Drosophila melanogaster: one gene and its partner. The protein of the gene in region 2 interacts with the protein of the main gene of each other region in a pairwise test. Each region holds a gene or a part of one and is shown on either strand. Other genes may lie near its edges. The genes, in order: RabGGTb and RabGGTa.

Region 1 (4,284 bases), on a different chromosome or scaffold from region 2:
ACCTTTTTGTCACATTCCCCATCTGATTTAGTTCGTAAGTCGAATGTTTTGGCAATTTTGTCCAGCAGAAGGCGAGTTTTAGCCACCTGAAAGCGCCGATCTACTGAAAATACGGTTGTAAGCGTATACTTTATTGTGCATTATTTGTTGTTAATTATAATTTTTGTAATAAAGCAAAAAAAAAGTGAGAGCGCACGCTTGTCATCCATTAGGGCTGTGGAGTGATCCGCAGGTAACTCTTTCCGGAGGGCAGCTCAATGGTTTCGATACCATCAGGAAAGAGCTTAGGAACATCTTCGGCTTTGACGGTGGGCAAGACCATGCACTTGCCGCCCTGTTTCCAATCCGCCGGCGTCGCGACACTCTTTGTTTGGGTCAACTGGAGCGAGTCGATCACTCGAAGGATTTCACTGCAAAGGATATAGTTAAATGTAATTTGTCGGATTAATTGACCTTGAAATCGTTCCTATTTAACTTCCATTATTATATGCAAGGTTAGTACTTAGTTTTCAGCAATAATACTTCATTAAATAATTATCTGCTAATGCGATTAAGTGCACGATTGTTTGCTAAAGTGCATTACAGCATTACTTTATAGATAATGATGAATGCTAGATATTGGAATACCCACTCAAAGTTGCGCCCAGTGGTGGCAGGATACAGGATGGACAGGCGAAGCTTCTTCTTGTCGTCCACCACGAAAACGGCGCGACAGGTGAGGGGAATGCCCTCGGCATTGATCTCGTCCTTGTCCAGCATATTAAACTTGAGCGCCAGTTCCCTTTTGTCGTCCGCAATGATGGGATAGTCAAAGGAGCTCAGCTCTGCGAACAGAAACGCCAATTAGAAGCGATTCCTGTCCAGAAATCAGTGACCAAACCCACTGCCAAAGCTCTTGATGTCCTCGATCCAACCCTTGTGCGACTCCACGGTGTCGCAGGACAGTGCAATTGGCTTGACTCCACGCTTTTGGAATTCCGGAATCAATGCCGCCACCCGGGACAATTCCGTGGTGCAAACCGGCGTAAAATCCGCCGGATGGGAGAACAGAATGGCCCAGCTGTCCTGCATCCAGTCGTAGAAATCGATTCGACCCTCGCTGGTCTCAGCCGTGAAGTTTGGGAACTGATCGCCAATGTTTAAAGCCTTTCCGGACATGGTGGATATTTGAAAAAATCAAGAGACGAATTACGAGCTTTTTGGATAAATGCGAAACAAAATTTGCCGCAAAATGCAAATCAGCTGACTGGGCTAGGGTGCCCGTTACCTTTATAAGCTCAGCTCGACCAGGGATGCAAATATAAAAAGAACTAGTTTTCGTATGAAGATGTTAAAAAGAAGGCTCATTGTGTGCATTCATTTTGCAATCATTTCCTTTAAGTGTTTTAAATCTAAAGTATTTTCTTTGACACAAGCAAACGAGTGTTTCGTATATTTTCGAATTTATGAGCTCAAAAAGTGAACCAGTGAACCGAACCACTTACACGTGCTTGCATCCCTGGCCATTACTCATACACACGCACACTATATCACACATACGCGCAGTGTAAACACAAAAAAAGCTGAGAATTTCTTGCATTTATTTGTTTAAATTGAGCAAAGAGGATATAACCATGACAGAACTGAGCATCACTGGCCAGCAGGTGATGCCCCCGCCCGCATGCACACCACCGGAGCCCTTCCGCATCACAACGAACGCCCCGCACCAGATGAACGATGCCAGTTTGACGCCGGGACGCAGGAAGCTCCAGAAGTGGCTGGGTCGAGTTCTTCGGATCGTGATTACGGACGGACGCGTGCTGGTGGGATTCTTCAACTGCACGGACCGCGACGCCAACATCGTGCTGTCCATGTGCGCCGAGTACTTGGTGGAGGGCCAGGAGCCGCGCCTGCTGGGCAACGTCATGGTTCCCGGCCAGCACATAGTCTCCCTAAGCATCGACGAGCCGGATCCGCAGTCCAGCCTGCTGGTGCAATAGTGTGCATGTGTTTTGAATAAAATAAACTAGCTATTTGAAATTTAAGTACGTTTAATTTTTATTTTTGGATGGGGTTATAGTAAACCCCTCCACACTACGCCCCTGCGTCGATCAGCTGTTTGATAAGCCACTGCCGCGTTGCCAACCATCGCGCAGATGAATCAGCTGTGCTCGATTGGATTCACTGAGTTATTTGTTTGCTCGCAGCACTATTCCTGCCAATTAATAGAGTTAATCAAGCGAAACAGCGCGCCGAAGAGGATCTGCCAGCCACCCGATACTCATTCAATTGAGCCCAATCAGCGATGGACTTCACGACCTTCGTAAAGCCCTCAAATGGCGGTGGCGACAGCGGCGGTGGTGGTGATGCGGATGGCGGCGGCCAGAAGCTGCAGTTCTGGAAGCATGTGGAGTACATCGAGAACCATGGGAAGCAGGAGGACGACTACGAGTACTGCATGACCGAGTTTCTGCGCATGTCGGGCATCTATTGGGGCACCACTGCCCTGGACATTATGGGCCAGCTGGAGCGATTGGAGCGCAAGTCCATCATCGAGTTTGTGAAGCGTTGTCAGTGTCCGAACACGGGCGGATTCGCACCCTGCGAGGGCCACGATCCCCACCTGCTGTACACCCTGTCGGCCATCCAGATCCTCTGCACCTACGACGCCCTCGAGGAGATCGACCGCGAGGCGGTGGTCCGATTCGTGGTCGGACTGCAGCAGCCCGACGGCAGCTTCTTTGGCGACAAGTGGGGCGAGGTGGACACCAGGTTCAGCTTCTGTGCGGTGGCCTCCCTAACGCTGCTCGGCCGCATGGAGCAGACCATCGACGTGGAGAAGGCGGTCAAGTTCGTGCTCTCGTGCTGCAATCAGACGGACGGTGGATTCGGTTCCAAGCCGGGCGCCGAGTCGCATGCGGGTGAGTCACCACATCGCCTGTCATGCTTTCGCCCTCACAGTCAATATCATTTCAATTTAAACTTATTAATCTTCTGGGAACAAAAAGTATACTAGAAAAATAGCTAGCCATAAAGCTGGTGCTCATATATGTTATCCAAAAACTAATCTACATATAACCCGCAGGGCTCATCTACTGCTGCGTCGGCTTCTTCTCGCTGACCCATCGCCTGCATCTGCTCGACGTGGACAAACTGGGCTGGTGGCTCTGCGAGCGGCAGCTGCCCTCCGGTGGGCTAAATGGACGGCCCGAGAAGCTGCCGGATGTATGCTATTCGTGGTGGGTGCTCGCCTCGCTCACCATCATGGGCCGCCTGCACTGGATCAGCTCGGAGAAGCTGCAGCAGTTCATACTGTCGTGCCAGGACACGGAGACCGGTGGCTTCTCGGACAGAACTGGCAACATGCCGGACATATTCCACACGCTGTTCGGCATCGGCGGACTCTCGCTACTGGGACATTCCGGCCTGAAGGCCATCAACCCAACGCTCTGCATGCCGCAGTACATCATCGACCGGCTGGGCATCAAGCCGCAACTATTGCCGAGGCCATGAGGGGATTCATCGATTCCACATGCAGCCAGTGCGTAGCCAATGTGTAGTGCAGCAGACCTCTGACGTATTCCCACGCTAGCGTTTCTTAGTTTTATTTGTAAAAAGACCAAAATTCCATAGCAGGAACACCCTTTCTTTACTCATTTTCTTCGTTATGCATTTACCCCTCTATTATTATTAAATATAGAATATTTTGTATAGCGAACGAAAATCAGCAATAAACAAATATTTTACTTTAATTCAGATCAGTTAACATTTGATTTATTTGCAAAGATAACTAAACTAACATTTGCATGTGTGAAAAACCGTGTGAAATGTTTGCGGCTAGTAGTCTAGGTCGTTATACATATTAGGTAAATACATATCATTGTGTAAATTTATGTACATGAGGATACGATACGAGTGTAGGGACTAATTAGTTAAGAAGTTGGCAAAAAACTGCATTACAAATATGGCGAATCACACAAAATTGGAATTACAAACTAAACGCTAAGTGTAGTCACCGTGTATGGGTTAGCTCAATTAGAGGCAATTGAAACGAATCTTGCAGAGCACAAACAAATATTAATCGACCACATCATACATATGCTGTGGACAATGTCCGAGTGTGTGTTCTGTGTGTGTGTGGTGTGTGCGGTGTGTGCGGTGTGTTGTGATTGTAGTATACTCGATGCACGTCTAAGGCACTCTATAAACAATTTCAGCTAACAATCCGTTTAAAATTTATGTCTTCAACTACGGACTAATGGAGGAGCATTAGGAATTACTGAATTTCTCGTCGCTAGTCAGAAC
Region 2 (4,195 bases):
TCTTTCGTCTAATCTTAGAATTCAGCACTGGCAGACAATTCAATGGCAGACAAGTGACCCGCATTTAAATATTTTATATACAATTTAAGGATAGGATAGGAATACTAAATACTAGAATTCTAGTGTCTTTGCGCTAACCCATACAGAAATAAAACTGAAGCTGGACTCCAAATTTATACATTAAAACCAAAAATATTCATGATTTTCTTCATTATAAAAGTGCATGTGCATCAGATTCTACAAGGAATTTCCAAATAATAAAAAGTTTAAATCAACTGTACTTATCTAGCTTTTATAGTTCCCGATATCGCAGCGATCATCCATATATATATGTATATACTCTGTAGGGTCGAAAACGCATCCTGTTACATACTTATCAAGGAATCTACTAATCCCTCTATATAAGTTACGTGTATTAAATTGAGGTTTAAAGTAGTTTCGCTGCGCCACACCCTGAAAATTATATAAAAAAGTTATTCTATTATCCATTATTATTAAAAAATAAAAATTTTATTTAAGAAATAATTTAATTAATAATAAATAATATTAATAATTTTAAATCGTTTATGCAAACAACACTGCGTTTTACTCTTAAGACATCAAATAAAGCGCCACCTTGCGTCCAAATCACTAATTCCACTTTTACTAGCTAGCTAAGTGCCACCTTCCGGATGTTTCGGGGTTCGATACAATGAACTTGTGTAAGATTGCATATGTCAAGACAATGCCTGAGTGCTACGAAATCTTATTAAATGTAAAATGTGCTACGAACTTTATAAATCAACGAAAATATGATGGCACGGCTCATTTTTGAAAGGAAAAGGTACAAGACTTCTGTAGTAATTGCTTGTCAACAATCGGGTCAAAAAATGTTCAATTAACATGAGATTAGATATCAGATTATATATAATTATTAGAAACTTATGCTGAGCTAATACATCCCATAAAACTTTTTTTTTCCTACACCGGAATTTAAAAATAAAGCGCTTTCGCATTTTAAGGTGTTTTCTCAGGCACCATCCCGATTTCTAAGGATGTGTTTCGATTAAAAACTGTTGAACTTGGGATGGCGAAGTGTGAAAGTACGTTACTTTCAAAATGAGATGTAAGATTGCTTTCAAAGATATTGAAGAAATCTTTTTGAAATAAAGAGTGGAATTTTAAAATTTACACTTTTTGGGAAAATAATTATTGTTTTGTATTTGCTGTAAAGGTAATAGATATCATATTTTGATAATATTTGTTTTCAATTCGCATCTTAAAATTGAATTTATGTTTTCCTTTGGAATACATATATTCCATGGCCTCTTCTATATTTTAAATTGAATTGCAATGACTATAAAATCGATTAGTTGTTAAGTTGTTTGAATGAATGATATGCACCTATTTTGTATTGCGTTGCAGAGGTTTGCATATTCTGTTAATTTTGTATATAAATTCGGAGTCTCGCCACTAAAATGCTTCCTGATTTGAGTATTTTGGCTGTTTACACGCCAATTACAGTATCATCTATTGGTAATTTTCAAATTGTTGAATATAAATTGTTGAATGAATTATAAACAATACGATTTTACTTAAGTAAGGAAATTGGGAAATTTTATTTTTTATTTCCAGTGCATGGAAAGGGTATTTCTTGAAAGTAAATTGGCATACGACGGTATTTACTTGTAGGACGGTTGGTATTTTTTATCGTTCCCGGCGCGGCCACACTGCTGACTAATAATTTTCGTATTTTGTAAATATTGGACTTTAATTCAATTCAGGGCAATGCACGGACGCGTAAAAGTGAGGACCACGGAGGAGGAGCGCGAGCGGAAGAAGAAGGAGCAGGCTCTGAAAGTCCGGGCCTACCGTGCAGCCATGGGAAGGATTCAGAAGAAGAGGGAGGCGGGTGAGCTGGACAACGAAATGCTCAGCCTGACAGTTCAGATCTTGCTGCGGAATCCGGATGTCAGCATGCTGTGGAACATCCGCAGGGAGTGCGTGCTGGAGAAGCTGTTCAGGCTAAAGGAAGAGGAGGCCACGTGCGAGACGCCCAGCGAGGAGAAGCCAGAGAAGGAAAACCAAACCGGTGAGAATAAGCCGAGTGAAAAGAAGGCCGCTGGCGAGGACAAGGCCCATTCCATTTTCACCTGCGAACTGGACCTCACCGAGCAGTGCCTAATGGTCAACCCGAAGTCCTACAACGCCTGGCACCACCGCTGCTGGACCCTGGAACAGAATCCCAGGGCGGACTGGCAGCAGGAGGTGAAACTGTGCAACAAGTACCTCAAATTCGACGAGCGCAACTTCCACACCTGGGACTACAGGCGCTATGTGACCGGCAAGGCCATGGTGCCGGCCACCCAGGAGCTGGACTTCTGCACCGAGAAGATCAGGGCTAACTTCTCCAACTACTCCAGCTGGCACCACCGCAGTCTCCTGCTTCCGGAGCTCTACCCCAACCAGCAGAGAGACCGGCCCATGAGTGAGGAGAAGTTGCAGAAGGAGCTTGAAATGGTGCTGACCGCTGCTTTCACGGATCCTAACGACAGCAGTGCTTGGTTCTACCAGCGCTGGTTGCTGGGCAGCGGCGCCCAGTTGGATCGGGCTCCAAGGATAGCTGCTTTTCGACTGGAGTCACATGGAGCAGTCCTCGCCCTTGACAAGCCCTACCCAGATATAAAGCAATTGAAGACTGAGCTAGTTGGGGGAGGACAAACGATTTTACTGGAGTTCTGGCTACCAGTGGACAAGCGTGGAACCAGTTGGAAGTGTCAGCAGAACTTCGATTACCAAAGAAACTCAGCTTACTCCCTTAGGCTCTCCGATCAGAAGGTTGACCTCTCGCCTCTGTCTGGCTCGGAAAACGGAGCCTATTACATTGCGCCGCCACACGGCACTACGAGTTGCAGCAAGGATCTCCTGGCGGAGCTGCAAACGCAGCTGCAATCCTGCCTAGATCTTCTGGAGTTTGAGCCGGACAGCAAGTGGACCCTACTAACAAGTGCCCTTCTAATGCGTGCTATCGATTTCTCAGCCAATCACGAAACGAGCTTGGCGCACTTGGCCAAGTTGGAAAAGGTGGATTTTTTAAGAGAGGGTTACTACAAGGACCTCGCTGCTAGGTGGACCTTGGAGTGGGAGCTTGCCAAGTGGCCCCAATCGGCCGACTTTCCCAAAAGATTTGACATAGCGAATGCCGTACTGCTGGAATCGCTTCCTTATGATCAATACTTAGTCATCGCTGATGAAATAACCTTGCCCAACAAACTGCGAGACAAATTGGGGGAATCAGTGCCCAAAACGTTTGCAGACTTGAAGTTGCAGTCATAGACCATTGGTGAATTGGTTTCGATAAGATAAGCCATATTTTACATTTGGTGCTGAACCGTTTTTGGTGATGTTGAAAGCCTTGAAAGAAGTGCAATCAATCGCTAAATTCCATTTTGAAATTATTCCTATTTATTCCTTGTACGAGTATGAGAAGAAATGTTATGTACATTACTAATACATATTTTTACTCTCTTTGTATATCGATGTGCAAATATACGAATAGTAAAATATCCGAGTTTAATTTTCCAGTAAATGGTTGCTAATAAGGAAATAACCAAGACGAGGTCGATTTCGATTGGAAATGAGAGTTTATTTTTATATGCTCCATGCTTACCAAGATGGATTTCCTATTCTTAGGAAATTCAAACAAATTGAACATGAATTTTAGGAAAAGTTCTTAAAACGCTCTTTGTCGGAATTCACACAACACAAATTTGCTTCTATCCGCAAGTGAAATCGATGACATCCGCAGCCATCCATTATCGAATGTTCCACGAGTTAAATGGGAAAACCATCAACACTGCTGCATGGAAACGCTGGCTACTTTAAGCGGTCCCGGAATCTGCCACAATGCTGAGGGTTTCTTTGACATTGCCACCATGTTGCAAATGCAGTTGCTGCTGCTGCTTCTGTTGTTGCCACCGATGTCGCCTCGCGTGTGCAGCGGGGAGCTGCGAGATTTGCGGTTTTTTGGCGGCTCTCGTGGTTATATAAATTATGCAAGACCCTCGAGGCGGAGATGCTCTGCGACGGGATGGCGATGCGAGGAGCTCAATGCGCGTCCACAACATTGGCAGCCGCATGTCATTACGTGCCGCAGCTGCACGAAGGAGACTCACTGAAACAAAAATGAGGAAGAAAAAATTTGATTCGAAGTAAA

What was found.
Region 1: the proteins of RabGGTa (region 2) and RabGGTb interact in a two-hybrid assay, tested with the Drosophila melanogaster proteins (2 studies listed by BioGRID).

What each region holds. Positions count from the first base shown.
Region 1 is NT_033779.5:2,876,980-2,881,263, forward strand, and holds RabGGTb (Rab geranylgeranyltransferase subunit beta), read left to right. Parts: upstream 1-2,132; 5' UTR 2,133-2,284; coding exon 2,285-2,900; intron 2,901-3,064; coding exon 3,065-3,492; 3' UTR 3,493-3,729; downstream 3,730-4,284. Other genes in the region: Prx6a (peroxiredoxin 6a), read right to left, coding at 209-410, 632-824, 885-1,158; Sbat (sabbat), read left to right, coding at 1,614-1,979; NTPase, read right to left, coding at 4,249-4,284.
Region 2 is NT_033777.3:5,126,401-5,130,595, forward strand, and holds RabGGTa (Rab geranylgeranyltransferase subunit alpha), read left to right. Parts: upstream 1-1,686; 5' UTR 1,687-1,767; coding exon 1,768-3,315; 3' UTR 3,316-3,539; downstream 3,540-4,195.